Neurospora crassa OR74A: one gene and its partners. The protein of the gene in region 1 interacts with the protein of each later gene in a pairwise test. Links are inferred from orthologs where the notes say so. Each region holds a gene or a part of one and is shown on either strand. Other genes may lie near its edges.

Evidence for each region.
Region 2: the proteins of NCU06748 (region 1) and NCU00395 interact in binary tests that used the Saccharomyces cerevisiae proteins (3 or more experiments, as listed by UniProt). The link is inferred for Neurospora crassa OR74A from reciprocal best matches to the Saccharomyces cerevisiae genes COA1 and MSS51.
Region 3: the proteins of NCU06748 (region 1) and NCU02162 interact in binary tests that used the Saccharomyces cerevisiae proteins (3 or more experiments, as listed by UniProt). The link is inferred for Neurospora crassa OR74A from reciprocal best matches to the Saccharomyces cerevisiae genes COA1 and SHY1.

What each region holds. Positions count from the first base shown.
Region 1 is NC_026502.1:2,066,815-2,072,335, forward strand, and holds NCU06748 (hypothetical protein), read right to left. Parts: upstream 3,488-5,521; 5' UTR 3,325-3,487; coding exon 3,162-3,324; intron 3,024-3,161; coding exon 2,542-3,023; 3' UTR 2,148-2,541; coding exon of another isoform or gene 993-2,147; 3' UTR 866-992; downstream 1-865. Other genes in the region: NCU06750 (coiled-coil domain-containing protein 25), read right to left, coding at 36-75, 223-295; NCU06749 (mitochondrial 54S ribosomal protein YmL9), read left to right, coding at 993-2,147; NCU06747 (hypothetical protein), read left to right, coding at 4,746-5,036, 5,100-5,521. UniProt on the Saccharomyces cerevisiae protein: Required for efficient assembly of cytochrome c oxidase in the mitochondrial inner membrane. Involved in a step coupling MSS51-dependent cotranslational insertion of COX1 to the addition of its heme A and copper B cofactors.
Region 2 is NC_026503.1:3,705,266-3,710,320, reverse strand, and holds NCU00395 (mRNA processing protein), read left to right. Parts: upstream 1-2,045; 5' UTR 2,046-2,178; coding exon 2,179-3,722; intron 3,723-3,793; coding exon 3,794-3,833; 3' UTR 3,834-4,033; downstream 4,034-5,055. Other genes in the region: NCU00396 (pre-mRNA-splicing factor rse-1), read right to left, coding at 1-1,107, 1,298-1,541; NCU16682 (PXA domain-containing protein), read left to right, coding at 4,933-5,055. UniProt on the Saccharomyces cerevisiae protein: Has a dual role in the assembly of cytochrome oxidase subunit 1 (COX1). It has a regulative function on COX1 synthesis, acting as a translational activator specific for the COX1 mRNA, and it also binds to newly synthesized COX1 protein.
Region 3 is NC_026501.1:1,040,515-1,045,866, forward strand, and holds the start of NCU02162 (SURF-family protein), read left to right. Parts: upstream 1-1,732; 5' UTR 1,733-2,161; coding exon 2,162-2,459; intron 2,460-2,564; coding exon 2,565-3,083; exon of another isoform or gene 3,084-3,200; coding exon 3,201-3,306; exon of another isoform or gene 3,307-3,395; coding exon 3,396-3,495; 3' UTR 3,496-3,559; coding exon of another isoform or gene 3,560-3,731; 3' UTR 3,732-3,856; coding exon of another isoform or gene 3,857-5,352. Other genes in the region: NCU02163 (hypothetical protein), read right to left, coding at 603-1,133; CEN-T, read right to left, coding at 3,560-3,731, 3,857-5,352. UniProt on the Saccharomyces cerevisiae protein: Required for efficient assembly of cytochrome c oxidase in the mitochondrial inner membrane. Involved in a step that couples MSS51-COX14-dependent regulation of COX1 translation to early steps of cytochrome c oxidase assembly.

The DNA of each region.
Region 1 (5,521 bases):
AATGCCGAACTAGGCTTGGCCGGGGTGAAACTTACCATACATCCTCCTCCCAGCCGTGTTGGATCAACTCCTCGTCTATAAAATAGCATGTTAGATGAGTGACGAGCTGACATCTATATCCAAGTCAAATATGCAATGTCCATGAGTGTGTCAAGATATATGCATATTCCACAAGGAGATGCAGAATACCACCAATTGTGGCTGATGATCATCTTCACGTACTCTCAAACTTGTCTTTCCCCACATAAATGAAAGCCGGGGGACTGACGACGGTCGAAGTGAAATAGAAGACCATGGTTGCTGATGCCTTTGGAAGAAATGAAAGATGGGAATATTGGGTATCTCAAAACGGCGACAATGAAAAAGACACTTCGTGCAAGAAGGGAAACCAAGATGCAAAAACGCGATTTCTTCTCTGGGGCTGTGTGGTGGTGGTTCGAGTGAAGATGTTTTAGCGGTTGAGTTTGGGGGATCCAATGCGGTAAAATGCGCCCGCACTCCAGCGGAAGTAAAACTACCTAAGTGAATAGAAAGAAGCAATTAACCCTAACCCTTCTTGTAGAGATGTCACACTCTGTACACCACAATCCGCCAAATACATAGTACCCGCCTGTGAATAGCCGCCCCTCCCCTGTCAATTGTGAATCCCCGGATGCCGAACCGATCGACGTTATCGGGGGGGGAGCATCCCGTTACTGAATTTCTGAGTGGCTATCAAATTTCTGCTGCTCCGTGCTTCGAGCCGGCGACCACCACTCCCGCACCCGCCCCAAAACCACCTCAACGGCCGCGCGCCGAAACGACCTCCCAACTCCGCCCCCTCCGGTTCGCGTCTCGAAGACAGCCGGTGTCCTTTCCATTCCCCCCACTCGACGCTCCGGGGCCCCGACATCGATACAACGAACACCGTCAGGTCCAATTGACTGCGACCAACCCCACCAAAAGCAACACAACACCACCCAACCCTCCCCTCAGACTTATACACATACACGATGGCGCCCCGGCTGCCCGCGCGCTGCTGGAGGCAGCTCTCCCTCGTCGAGAGGTCAGCCACCCACACCACAACCACCGCCGCCGCCAGCTCCCTCCTCCTCGCCGGCCGGACCACACCCACCTTCTCCGCCTCCTCGCCATCGACTGTCTTTCCCTCCCTCCTCCCTCAGATCACAAAGCGCGGCGTCAAGTACGGCTGGAGCACGCTCCCGAAGCGCAGCAGGCCCACACGATTCAACCAAGTGACGCAGGGTCTTCCGGCGCCCACCTCGGGCCCGGCCGCTGCCCTCAAGCGCCGCGAGAAGACTACACCCCTGCGCACCGGCGTGCTCGCTGTCAAGAAGGGCATGACCGTCTTCATGGGCCGCACCGGCGCCCGCATCCCCTGCACCGTTCTGCAGCTCGACCGGGTCCAAGTCGTCGCCAACAAGACGCGCGCCAAGAACGGCTACTGGGCCGTCCAGGTTGGCCTGGGCGAGCGCCGCGCCGAAAACGTGGGCGCCCCGCAGCTCGGCTACTACGAGGCCAAGGGCATCCCGCCCAAGCAGACGCTCGCCGAGTTCAAGGTGCGCAACCAGGACGGCTTGTTGCCGGTCGGCGTCCAGCTGTTTCCGGACTGGTTCCACGTCGGCCAGGTGGTGGACGTGCGCGGCATCACGCGCGGTATGGGTTTTGCCGGTGGTATGAAGCGTCACGGCTTCGCCGGTCAGGAGGCGTCGCACGGTAACTCGCTGAACCACCGTACCATTGGTTCCGTCGGTGGTTCGCAGGGCTCCGGTTCGCGTGTGTTGCCCGGCAAGAAGATGCCCGGTCGCATGGGCGCGCAGCAGCACACGGTCCAGAACCTGCCCATTCTGATGGTGGACAACGAGCTCGGCATCGTGGTGGTCAAGGGCGCGGTCGCTGGTCACAAGGGTGCGGTTGTCAAGGTTCAGGATGCTGTCAAGAAGGCTCCTCCCCCGGAGGAGTTTGTCGAGGCCACCAAGCAGCTCCTCAACGAGCGGTTCCCTGATGCGGAGGAGAAGTTGCAGGCGGCGAGGAAGTTGCACTTGGAGCTCAAGGAGGCGAGGAGACAGGGCCTGATAGATTCGCTCATCAAGAATGGGCTGACAGAGAAGGCGGATGGAAATGCTGCGGTAGAAGCTTCGGCTTAAGAGAGGGGGGCTGTCTCTGGTCTGTAGTATGTGTTTGTACTAGGTTTATGGAAGGGAATGTATGGTAAAGCCTTCCCGGTTTCTCATTTTTTTTAGTTCTCTCTTGTATGATACACACGCATCGTGGGGTGTTAAAATGTACAGCTACCGAAAATGTATAACAACTTGAACATACAACCCTTGCCCGTGATAGGTTCGTATGTTCTCTCCCTATATCTTACACATATTCCTCCTTGACAGCCTTCGGGTATTCAATCAGAGAGCCAGACCACGATCCTGTCCTTCAGCTCATCCTGTTTGAGAGGGGGAGAGGGGGACCACCACCTTCCCCGGTTCCCATATATATCCTCCCTTTTTTCAAAACTATTCCCTCCTTAAGAGCACCCCAAAACAATTACTTGGGCATCTGCCTGAAACCCCTGACCTTCGCATCCTCTGCATCATCATCCAGCTCAGGTTCCATCGCACGGCCGTTGATAGCTCTGAACGGATCGCCCTCCTCCAGCAGGTCAATGACCTTGCCGTCCTCCGTCTCCAGACTCCACTCGGTCGTCTCGAACATGCCTCGGGGCGTGGGCCGGAAGCTGGCGAAGCGCATCACGCCCGTGCGCTTGGTGCCCTTGACATTGAACTTGATGTCGATGCGGCCGTGCAGCTGGTTCATCTCGCCCGAGATCCACGGAATCTGCGCCTTGAAGTAGATCTCGTCACCCAGGTACTCGCGCGCGCGCTGGTTCGTGCGCAGCGCATAGAGGGTTGACTCGACCACGGGGGAAGAGAGTTTCTGGTAGTTGAAGATTGCGATCGAGGTGGCGGCTACGATGCCCAAGAAGATGGGGAAGGTGCGGGACCAGCGGAAGCGGGAGGTTTGGACATCTGTTTTTGTGGTTGCAAAGGGAAGAGGGGTCAGTAACTTCCATGGTACTAAGGAACTCAATTGGGGTGCGGAAACAGCAGGAAATACAGAACACAGAGAAGAGAAGAAGAAGAAGAAGAGACACGGGGAGAACATACCAGGAAGTTCACGATCAGCTCGCCTCTCCATCAACGGACCATCGCCAGGCCTGGGTGCCGATGTGAGAGATCTCCTCTGGGGTTGAGCGCGGCCCTTGGCGCAAGGGGAAGGCCTCGCCAGCGCCCTCTTTAGCGCCATACGTTGTGTTATCCTAGAGAGCATTGTGTGTGTTTATGTGTGTGTGAATGATATGTGTACTTTCGTGTGAAGGTTATTTTTCAGACGAACGATGGGGAGGGACGGGACGGGAGGATGTGTTGACACAAGCTTCTGGAGTTCGTCCCGTACACTAAAGCTACCCGACCTACCTACCAAATGGAAGCTGCCCTGGCGACGATTCCTACGATAACTCGTTTATCGATAGGCAGTGGGGCGGCACTACGTCGACCACCCCACTACGATTTGATCAGTGCATAGCCTTTGGGCAATATTCTTGTAGCAGCAAGTACCCAGCTGTCGGGGTGGCTGGTGAGGGTTAGGAGTTGACGAGAGAATCTCGGGGTTGTGTTAAATGCTTCCTCCAAACAGCCCTTGTCGGCACCGCGATATTTGGGGGCTTTTTATGTTCTTTTTTTTTTCTCGATGAGACTATCCCGTTCTGTTCAGAAGTTGCAAATGCATCATTTCTTTGTCCTTCGTTGTCCCAGGTTCAAGAAGAAGAAGAAAACAGGATAAACTCCTGTTGAGTTGCCGGTTAGCTTGCCAATCCATGAACTGTGGTTCTGTTGCTGTATCGTTCAGCATTTCTCTGCTTATATGCCTAATGACGATGGCCGAGAGGCAAGTTTCCTATTTTGGCTCTTACCTTCAAAGCGTGGCGCTACTATTCCACCGGGCTGAGAAGTATGGTCTCTTCCTGTCCGCCTATGATGCAGTTGGCTTCAACGCCATATGCCGTGAGACACGGTCAATTTCTATCCTCCAGTGGGGACTGGACTCTTTTTACTCTCAAGGTTGCGACCGGCCTCGAATAACTCCCAACAAAGAATAGTATTCGTCGGTACAGGACGTCACAATATCCCATATCTGACAAGGCAAGCTCTGTTGTGTATAGCCACAAAACGGGTTACAACCTTGCGAAGCGAGCCGAGCCTCGTGCTGGATGCTTTGCTTCCACGGATCAGCGCGTGGCAGTTCCATGCTGCAGACTAGGCATCTCTCATATGGAAGGGTTCTCGTGGCGTTGGCTGGGCATACGCAGTGATATCCCTCCTTTGGAACAAAGAAGAGAAGTACGTACCCGGTCGAGCCAATCTCACTGCACATCATGAAGAGGCAGTGTCAGTTTTGTGTGCTTACGTGTGGACAAGCTGACAACCACCACATTTGGAAATGGGACCCAATCCGCGTCCCCAAAGACGGCTGAGAGAAGGCCTTTCGCCCAACGAGAGAAAAGACACACCGGCACGACCGCAGTCGGTCCGCTCTCATATAAGACGGCTGGCGCTGTTGTCAATATCTGGGGTAACTTGGACAGGCCCCAACCACATTGCACTTTGCCATATCAAGACCCCAACTGTTCTTGTCCTTCTTCACACTGTTAAGCTCTTCTATTCCCTCAGCCCTAGTGGGATTCGTTCACAATGGCTTCAAGCAGGCTCATGAAAGCCATCTATGTGGCTTTGTTTTTGCTTTACGTTGACGCAGCCATCTCATTATCCCTTGTCTCGTCAATGGTGGCATTTCTTCATGGACGCGGCGGCCAACCATTCGAGGTCCGACGACTTGGTTCGGTCTTCGACCTTCCCGGAGAACCTGCACATCTTTTGACGGACCACGGCCACACGACAAATGCAGCAGGAGGTACGGGCGTCGTCCTTGTAGGGTTCGGTGGCCTCCTAGCTTTGTGGTTGGAGCATAGGTCCAGGGCAAAGGTATGTGTTCATTCTCGTAGAATCATTGTGCAGTGTGCGTCTATGGTACTAACCTTGTGGCAGTACGGGAAAACATCGCCATTCTACTATCTCTGGGCCCTTATCACGATTCTCAGCTGGCTTCTTACTCTCACGGCTCTGATCTATACCTATGTCCTGACCAACAAGCATTCGGATCAGGGTATCGACCTCGCCTACGCAGAAGGCAGTGCTCCGAAGCCGTACCCACGGGACTCTTGGACCCCGGAGAACTGGTATACGCTGGTCAACAGTCTATCACTTGTCCACAGCGACGATCACGACATACTGAAGAAGAAATTGAGAACCATGCGCGGATGGCGCTACAACCTTATTCCCTTCATGATTCTTGGTTTCATTCTCATGGTCCTCGTCATCGTGGAGCTGTTGAGTTTCAGGAGGTCGAGGGGTAGGAAGACAGAACAGCCATTTGAAGAACGACCGCATGAGTCCGCTCACTTGGTAGC
Region 2 (5,055 bases), on another chromosome or scaffold:
GCGCCCCATTTCCACAGACAGAGTAGATCTGGGGCGCGTCCTCTCCCGTCAGATTCGCAACCTTGCAGTCGACCTGAGGGTTCATCGAATCAATGCTCTCAACCAGGACCAGATTTTCAAGTGGCCTGGGGTGGAAGTACACCGGGTTATATGAGGCGGTAGGGTCTGTCGGGAAGTCGTCGCTGCTGAACTCGAGCTCCTCGTCATCGTCTCCGAGCTTTTCAAATTGGTAAAAGTGATGGTTTCCAAACTCGCTAGCGGCGAACAGGAAGCCGCTCTTCAGGATGCAAAGACTAGTGGCTACTGGTATCGTGTCGAAGTACTTGATCTTGAGGCGCTTGACCTCTCCGGTGGGGTTGCCGTCACTATCTTCGATCATGTCAATGGTGACTTTGAAGAGATCTCCATCGTCCGTCTGAAGAAGGAAGAAAAAGGCGCCCGCGCTTCCCTTGAGCTTGTGCATAACGCCAGAGACGATAACCCGCTTCCTCTGAGGATCTTCGGTGGCACCGCTGCGTCTAGGGATGGGGACGCGGAAAGCCTCTTGATTCGAGTGCCGATAGGTGACATTTTCCTCGCCGCACACCAAGACACCGCTGGGACCGTCATTGCCGCCGGGTACTTGGAAGAGAAGTGAAGAAGTGCGATCGACAGTATCTGACCACTTGCGTACAACGTGGTTCAGGCCCAGATCAAGCTCGTAATATACCAGCTGTGTCTCGACTTCTTCTCGTGCTTGGCCCGTAGGATCTTGGTCCGCGTCCGTGTAGTCCAGTTCCAACGCAGCGAAAACGGGGTTTGCGTAACCAACGTCAAGGGCAACAAGAGACAGCACCAACACGCCTGGCTTGTGGGCTTCCAGTGGTGACGAGATGGTAAGCTCGGCCTGTGAGTTTCGGTTGAGAACATAGACCAGCTTGTTCTTTTCGAGTGCCGAAATGAGGCATGCTCTTCCCTTTGGATCTGCGGCTAAGTACTGGCCGGGGATGACTCGGCGGACGCCCGATTTGCCGAAAGTCTCGAGGTGGATGCGCTGAAACTTGTTCGTCTTGGGGAGATACTCGATAATCGTAATGCGGCCCGAATCAGTGGCGAGGATAATGTAGTCTGGGTGGCACAGGGTTTTAGCACAATCCCGCTACCGATTTGAATGAGTCTCTCAAGTCCCCAGAAGACTCGTAGGCCTGGGTGCATGGTGCGTGACCATACGTGTGGCCCCTCTACCCAGAAGCACCTGGGGAACGGATCCAGAATCACTATATTGCCCAACACAGGAGGTGGCGGGGAGGTTACTCACCCTTGTGGCTGCCGGCCAGACGGAACGACGCGATGGCGCGTACGATGCCGAAGATGTCATGAGACAACAGGGTGTTGACCTTGCCCTGACGGGGATCAGGCTGAAGGAGGGTTAGACGCGATCCAGACGCCGTAAGAATCTGCTGTTCCTTGGTTCCCGAGAACTGACCAAGCAGAGCCTGCGTGACAGCGGTGGGTGGCTGGATGGTCAAGGAATACAGGAACATGTTCGACGTAGTCGCCATGGCTGCAACTGGGCGCAGACAGCCGGCGCGGCTCTGCTTTCTCGAGGTTGTTTTTGCAAGTGGGTAGGACTCGGTTGTGCTCTGTCAATGCTGCCGTCGTTATGTTGAGAAGACCAATGCGCGAAAGTCAGCCAGATTGTCGAAAATCTAGAGTTGAATATCGAGTAGATGATTGTAACACGGCAAAAAAAAATGAAACACGGTCCAGTGTTCTGGCACTCTGGCGAGGTAGATGGAGTCGGTTGCCGTCGATGGTATTTCTGGCCAATTGGTGCAGTCCAGTCACTCAGGTTGCAGCGGTACGTCGGACTCGGTCCACGGTAGGTCGTAGACGCCGCCCACTCATCTTCCCGCCTCGCGACTGTGGCTTGCTCGTAGCTCTCTGACCCGCATACGTAACGTCAGACGGAGCTTACCTAGGCACAATTGTGGCTGGTGAAGCAAGAACAAAGTGGGTCATTCGATGGACGGGACCCGCCTAGGCACTTAGGCACAGTAGAGGTAGGTAGCGAGTCGGGTCGGTGGGAGAGGACCCCGGATTGCTGGGAGCTGCTGCCAAAAAGTCAATTGGAAAGTCGCATCGAGTCCCGGCGATCCAGATTCCCGATCGAACATCATCCGACCTCTTGAACTCCCAATGGCCCTCCCAGCAGACCGCGCCGTGCGTCCGGCCTTGTCCAAGCTTTGCTCGCAATGCTCGACTTTCACAGCTAGACAGAGCAGGCAAAGTGCTGCGTTTTTGCAGTCAGCCCAGCAACGCTCCGTCAGCTCCATCCGAGGGGCACAGAGCTCTTCCTCGTCTTCGACGCAAGTCGGCGGCATCACCAGAACCATTTCGCGTCCGATCCAGGCTTCGATCACAAGCAAGCTTCCTTCCGTTGCTGCCCAGTCCAGAACCAAGGCCAGCAGCTCGACATCGTTTGCCACCAACGAGGATCTGGCCGGTAGTGGTATCCCCTCGAAGCCGATTCTCGAGCAGGACAACCTCTTCCACTCCTTCACCAACTCGCCCATCCCCAAGATCCGCCAGCGCGCGGCCTTCATAAGACAGCACGCCAGCTGCCCCCACCATAGCCACCGCCCAGGGCAGTTCTCCGAGACCAACCGCCAAGTCGATACCGAGTCTGGCTCCCAGCCGCCGAAGCACGTCGATTTCGAGTGCCCTGACTGTGGCATCCCGGTATATTGCAGCGAGCAGCATTGGATGGACGACTATGAGAAACATCTCGAGATATGCGACACTCTGCGGCAGATCAATGAAGATGACCATGACCTCCATTCAGGCCGCCACTTCTACGAGTTCAACTACGCCGGTCCGCAAATGGATGATGCCATGGTCAACATGACCAACTGGGACACGTTCATGTATACCCGTCAGTTCGAAGCTGTCAACGATGACCGGTGCATGAGACAGGCGACTAGGTTGTTGACCTATCCTCTCACGATCGGCAGCGTTCTTCACGAGTTGAGCCCGTACCACATCCGGAATCGCCTCACGGTCGAGGGCTTAAAGAGTTTGACGGCACTTCGCTATACCCTGCATCCTCCCAAAACTGGAGGCAACGAGTCTATCAAGGGTCTTCGGCCTGAGGCGCCCCCCGTGCGTGTCTTTATTCTCGGTGCTCGCGCTGAGTCGTCGCTGCCTAGAGATGCTTGGGTGCAGTTGGCCCATCTCTTCCCCCTGTCGAGACTCCATCTGATTTTCATCGGACCCGAGAGCATGATGAACCGCGATGACGAATTTCCCCTCCCGCCTCGTACTCCCGAGAATCCTTACGGTGCGGTTGTGGAGGATCGCGTATGGCCTACCATGAAGATCAGCACCATTGTGGATTATTACCATACTATCCACAAGACGGGTTATTTCGCTCCTCACGATCCTTACTTCGACTGCTTCGTCCTCTTCCACCCTGGTTTGGGCCACCCGGCAAGCTCCCACGAATGGGAGGAAACGCTGCCTATGCTTCTCGAGACCAAAGCTCCTATCATTGCTACGGGCTACACGCAGGCTGACATGGAGCGTGATGTCGAGTGGGTCAACAAGAAGGCCAAGGGTGAATTCGACATTCTCATGGAGCCTGGCGAGAACATCTTCCGCAGTCTCCGGTGGGATCTGAATGATCTTGACCCTCAGGACGTCAGTGCCGGTAACTGGGGTGTGTGGGCCTTCCGCGGAAAGAGGTTGGTGCTCTCTTGATTTTTTTCCCCCGCACAACTAGATACGGTTCGAGAGCTAACAGAGTTTGTTTTAGGTACGAGGCTACCGTCAAAGACAACGTCATTGCTGTATAGATGAGCCATGCGTATGCTGGTCGTTGCATCCTGTAAGATGTAGTAGGTGTTGGCAACCGGGCTGTTAGGAGCCCAGACTGTATAATAGGAATATCGAACAAACGCATTGTCACGACCATATCGGCTTTTTACACTTCAAGACTTTGTGGTATCTTTTCCGTTTCTAACGGTACGGGCTGGATGTTACGGATGTCGGATCCAAGGTGTGTGTTCAAAATCTTTTGGACTGCACAGTCTGATAATCTCGTAGTTGTGGGCCTAGGGAGGCACTGATCTGCAACGGTCAGGCTCGGGCCGCATGCAGCAAGTGCCTTGTGTCACGGCAGTCTGCTGTGGCAAGGGTGATGACAGCTTGAGCCTCATCGACGACAGACGGTTTTTTTTTTTCAAGCACTTTTTGTCCGTCTCACGCAACACCTTGCACCGCGCAGTAAATTTCGGTCAACGTTTGTCAAGCGAAGTGCAACGATAACAAACTTCAGGCGTGGAGATTCCTAACCTGCCAGCAGCAGTGTGTATCCTTGGTAAGAAACGAAAACTACCCACATGCTGGAAGATGACTCGCACCGACTTGACTAGAGTTAAAGGAATTTAAAAGCGGTCGAGGATGCGGTGCCGCCTTAGCTGCGTAAGTCAAAGGTGTGTGCTTTGTTGACATTCATTCAGGGGAAGCTCGACGACTTCAAGGGGTGATCGGTTCCATGCTACGGGCAACGACCATGCTTGGTCTTGGCTAACCTCACCGCCTACCCGTTTCGGACAGGTATTGGCTGATAAGCGGCAGGGTGCTTCCTTATCACCTGGGCTACTGCCGCTGTTGGCTGGGGTCGCCGGCCATCCACCACAGGTGCGGGACAGGCGTGGACGGAACACAAGACCGGACCACTCGCTACCTATCAACATGCACCCAGCACCACCTGTTCACCAACCACTGCACCGCGCAACACGCACAATCACACCTCGACGATTTTCTCTTGTCTTCCGCCTCTCGCGCTTCAAAGAGCTGCCAGGCTCTGAATTGTCATAAAGAGTGGACGGCGCTATGATATGAGCGGGTGCGCGCGGGGCACAATGCTTGGACACCGCTAGTTGGCCCGTCATGACAACTGCCTCGACTGCTGCTGCTGCTGCTGCTGCTCCCACTTTCTCTGCGCCCTCTGCGCCCTCTGCGCCCTCTGCGTCCCCTGCGGTCCCTGTCACTGCACAGAGTCAGGGCCCCGCT
Region 3 (5,352 bases), on another chromosome or scaffold:
TCGACTCGAGTGTTCGGCATGCCGTTCCGAAACAACAGGATGAGAGGAAGTCAGGAAGGAAATCAGGAAGGAAGTCAGGAAGGGAGAAAGGATGATACCATACGTGAGATACCATACGATTTGTGGCAGCGGAAGGCTGAGATGGATGGTCAAGCTACACCAGATTGTCACGCACATTAAGCAAATAACTGACTAGGTACGCTCCTTGGGCAAATACCATTTCAACTTGTTTTACACAGAAACTGTTAGCAGACATATATGTCTGACCACTGCTAGCTCGCTTGGGTTGATGGGTGATACTATTGTCATGATGTTATTGTGCTGCTAGTAAGGTAAGATCATCATCTTTCGCTGAGCCTGTCTCTCTACCCTTGCCAGGGCGGCGGAAAAAAACAACAACAAAAAGTGCTAATGCGGTTGCCCGTAATCCAATTCTCTGCCTTGTCCACTCCTCGTTCTTCCCAATGATGAAACTGAAACCCCATATTCTGTTCGTCGCGCAATGCCAAATCCGTTGGTCTGTTGGTTAAGTAGTTACCTAATTACACGCCAACTTCTTCTCCAGTCGACGAAGCCATGCGAGTTTCTGTCTGTCCCCTTCCTTACACCATCCCCTGCCCCCTCTCAGTTCTAGCCCTTCTCCACCTTCTCGCCCACGCCGCAAGACCCTGGAGGGGAACTTTGATCATGACTTCGTATGCATCCTTCCAACCAAGTTCTTCTGGCTCTTCTTCCTCTTCTGGCTGTTTGTCGGTAGAGGTGGTGGTTATGAACTGTTGCTTTTGGCAGAGGTAGTTGAGCCTGTCGATGTCGAGCCCGGTTTCGAGCTCGGGGAGAAGGTTGAAGTTGATTGTGGCTGTGCGTGTTGGATTGAGGAGGTTGGGGGTGTTGTTGTTGTTGTTGTTGTTGTTGTTGATATTGTTGGAGGGGGTTGAGGAGTTGTTGGTGAGGAAGTTGGTTGCGTTGGCAGTAGATGATGGAGACACTGGCGGCAGTGTAGTAGTAGTTCTGGCTGTGGTAGGTTGAGCCGTAGCGGGAAGTGGAAGGCCGATGGCGTGTTGCCCTTGATGATCGGGTGCGGAGGAGGCGTAGCTCGACAGGGTGCTGAGGCTGCCAGCCCCTGGAGAAGACATCTTGGGCGTTTCTTGAGTCGAGCAGCTCTGTACTTATGGATGTGGTATATAGTACCGAGTATTTGATAGTGTTGTTGATGTCAAGTAAAACGAAGGAGGGCAGGCTACTAGAGGTTGGGCGGATCGATGTTGGGTTAGGTTTGTGATTACCTAGGTAGCGAGCGGGAAGCAGAAGATGGAAAGTGCACTTTCTTTCGAGCCTGAAGTGGTTTCCTTAGTTTTCAAGTGGTTTGAGAAAGCAGTAAGAAGTCTTGCTTTGATACACACGAGCGGGTTACCTCTTAGGTATGAAGCCCCAAAACGGGGCCTGCTCTATGCCCGTGAAGAAGCACCTGGAAGTATTTATTATTATTTCTTTTTTTTTTTATCTTCCGGACCTGGCCTGCCTTACCTTGTTTTGAAGCTGCATTCAGGTGCTTCACTGCGAAATCAGGAGGGGTGGCTAATCATCAGCACAGCCCCAGAAGCAAGGCTTCCACTTTACATTCAAATCAGCAAACGAATCTGAAGACTAGAGTTGTACACCACCGACAGTCCCAAGTAACACACAGCCTGGTGAATCTCACATCTATGGACCATCAAGGTGTTTGTCGTCCGTCTTCAAAATGACCCCCACGGTCCCTTAGCAACCATCCATCACTTACACGACCCCTGGTGCCAAGCATTGGTGGGGCGGCGCTCAGGAACTGCACCCAGCGGCCCCGGCCATTCGGATGGAAACGCCCCACACCCACACCCACCACCACCAGCGGCAGCGGGGCATCGCCCAGAATTGGACTTTGATCGGAGCAAAACAGCAGCTCCACCGAGAACTTTCCTGTGTCCGGCAAATGACGAAGTTTGTCCGCATCTTTCCCCAGCTCCATTTTCGTCACATGCCGCTGTTTATGGTTGCTCGTTGTTGTTGTTGTCGTTGTTAGCAGCAGCCTCCGATTCGTTCTCTCAGTCACCACCACATAACTACCTACAGTACCTATCTACCTCTTCGGCCGATCGATCAACCGACCGACGAAACGAACGAACGGACAATGGCGGCCAGCGGGAGCATATTCCAGTGCCTCCTGCGCACGTCGCAACAGAGCTTGGGAAAGAGGATAATCCTCCAAAGACAAACAGCAGCAGCCCACGCAGCAGCTGCGACGCGATTCACGACAGCTAGACTCGGCAGAAACCCTGCCTCTAGTCCCCGCCGCCAATTCACCACCTCGTCCACACGCCGACAGACTCAACAACCCGGCGATGATCCCAACTTTACTTCCATCCTCGATAACCCTCCCGAGCTTGTGCGGACCGGCAGGAGACATGGCAAGGGGTTGATTATCCTGGGTATGTCCTGATTGAGTCCCAACCATCTACAATCTCAGCATGCGCTATGCAGCCGTAACACTGACTAACGCATTTACCTCCTCCTCCTCCTCCTCCTCCCCACAGCCATCATCCCCATCACTGCCCTCTTTCTCGGAACCTGGCAAGTCTACCGACTAAAATGGAAGACGGACCTGATCGCCAAATGCGAGGACCGCATCATCCGGGACCCTCTCCCCCTTCCCCCCCGCGTGGACCCGGCCGCCATCGCCGACTTCGACTACCGCCGCGTCTACGCCGAGGGCGTCTACCGACACGACCAAGAGATGCTGATCGGCCCGCGCATGCGCGACGGCGAACAAGGGTACATGGTTGTTACGCCCCTGGAGAGGGGAGATGATCCGAGCTCCAAGGTGTTGGTCAACAGAGGGTGGGTGAGTAAGAAGTTTGCGGACCAGAGGAGCAGGCCGGATTCCGTCAAGCAGGGCGAAAAGGTCCGTGTGGAGGGCATGCTGAGAGAGCCGTGGAAGAAGAATATGTTCACGCCGGACAACAGGCCGGATATTGGCGAGTTTTATTTCCCGGATGTGAAGCAGATGGCCGAGTTGACGGGCAGTCAGCCGGTGTGGATTGAGCAGACTATTGGTGGGTATCTCTGTTTTCTTCTCTGCCAGTTTTGGACGTGGCTGGCCTGGCCTGCGTCCTATAATGGTATGATGGCTATTCTAGCTAGGTATGGTACTAACGTATGTTTGTGCGCAGTTCCCGATATTATCACCGTCTATGACTACGAGGCGCGTGGTATCCCTATCGGTAGAGTCGCCGAGGTCAACCTTCGCAACAACCATGCGCAGTACATCTTTACTTGGTATGTTCTTAAGCGATGCTTCACCTCCTTCCAATTCTTGACGTACCCCTGCGGTATCGCATATCAGTGCCCGACTAACTGGTACTTAGGTACGGTCTCGCTGCTGCCACCTCCATCATGTTCTGGCTCGTGGTCAAGAAGCCTGCGAACCAGATTACCAAGCGCGTTCGCATGAACAAGAGCTGGTAAACATGAGTTTGTGAGTGGGCAGTGATAGCTTTGCTTTGTCACACATCAATGGTAACAAACACTCTCACGTCACCTCTTCGTCTTCGCCGCCAACCCCAGCACGGCTAGAAGAGGCAGCCTTTCGGCGCTTCTTGACCGGAACAGGCGGCGTCATCCTCAGTTCCTGGAGGAGCTCTCTGGGAAGGTATCGTTGCGCCAAGGCAAACGGCGTGGTTTGTGCGTTGGTTTGACGTTGTCTATGGAAACAAAAATGTAAGTCAGTCCGTCGTGTACAATAGCTCGAAAAAAGTGTACAAAGAACACTACACAGGATATAAACAATCGGATACCCAGGGATCAAAGCAAAAGCGCCAAAACATACCTCTTCATCAATGTAAGCATATCACTCATATCGATAGTTTTGCGATGGGCGTGCTTTGCGTACGCCGACAAGTCATCTCCCAACTGCTCAAAGAACCAGTCCGAAGCCTGCATGATTGCCTTGAGCGCCTCAGGCGAGATGTTTCCCTTCGCGCCGCTCGTCTTGGCGAATGTTTGCGCCAGCCGCTTGATCATGGCCGGAGGTAATGATGTGTACTCGATGCCGTGTTTGGAGATCTTTTTGGTGGCTTTGATCTTGGAGAAGCCCCCTCGTTCACCACCCTCTTCCCGAAACAATCCGAGTTTCTCCCGCGCCGCCGAAGCTGAAAGTGATACCCTCGCCGCCGTTGGTGTGTAGCCTGATAATCTCGTCATCTCCTCATCCGAGCCTGCCTGGCCCTGGTCGTCTTGGTTGTTATCCAGATCCATGGCCATACCGTCGTCGTTATCATAATCGTCGTATGCTGGTCCAACATCATTTCCGTCATCGTCATTGTTGTCGTAACTGTCGCTCCTCTGGTCCATCAACTCCGCGAAACCTCCACCTTGGCCGCTTGTTGCCGCCGCTTCAGCAGCTTGACCCATCTCAAACTGCCTCGTAGGCGAAGCAATCATAAACGTGCTCTCGTCCATCCCCACCGGCACCTCAATGTGGAAATCACTATCCCTCCCTCCAGCTCCCAGCAGCAGCCCCATCCCTCCTTCCCCACCTATCGTCTCCCGTCTCCTCGTCTCGTCCGAGTCCAGCCTGCTAAACTCATCCGGTATCCTATCCTCGGCATTTCCAAAGTCGTCCTCATCAATTGCAGCAGGCGGAAAGAACCCCGAATCGATCCCATCACTCTGTTGTTGTTGTTGCTGTAGCTGCGGGAAATCACTCAACCGCCCCATCGAATCCCTCATCCTTTGTTGATCCTTCTCCGGATCCACCCGTCTCGGCAACTCGATACTCTGCACCGTAAAGTTCTCCGTCAGATCTTCGAGTCCTGCACTCCGATGTGGTTGCGGCAGTTCATCATCATCTTCCCAATCATCGCCCTCCCCATCCCCCACCCCTAAGCCCAAGCTGAGTCTCGGCCTCTTAGGCAACTCCTCCTCCTCGTCGTCCTCATCTCCATACCTACTCCGCGTGGATATGTCAAAGGTCAACTCCTCCGACGTGTCCCCCTCCTCTTGCTCTTGTCTTCCCCCAGCAGCAGCAGCAGCAGCAGATCCAGAAAGCGCCGAAGCAGGACTCGAACTACTACTCGGGATCCTCTCACTCTTGGGCGCCAAGACTTTGCCTAACTGCAGCAGGAAATTACGCGGGGTCTCGCGGGCTTCGCGCAACGAGCGCCGGCGCGCGTGGTGAGGCGTGAGGATGGCGGCGCGTCGGGAGTCGATGGCGCGGTAGGCGGCGCGGACGTGCGGGGTTGCGTTGGGGTTGGGAGTGTTGTGTGCGGAAAGGAGGAGGCCGCGGGGGGTGCGGGCGCCGGGGGTGTATGCGCGGGCGTTGGG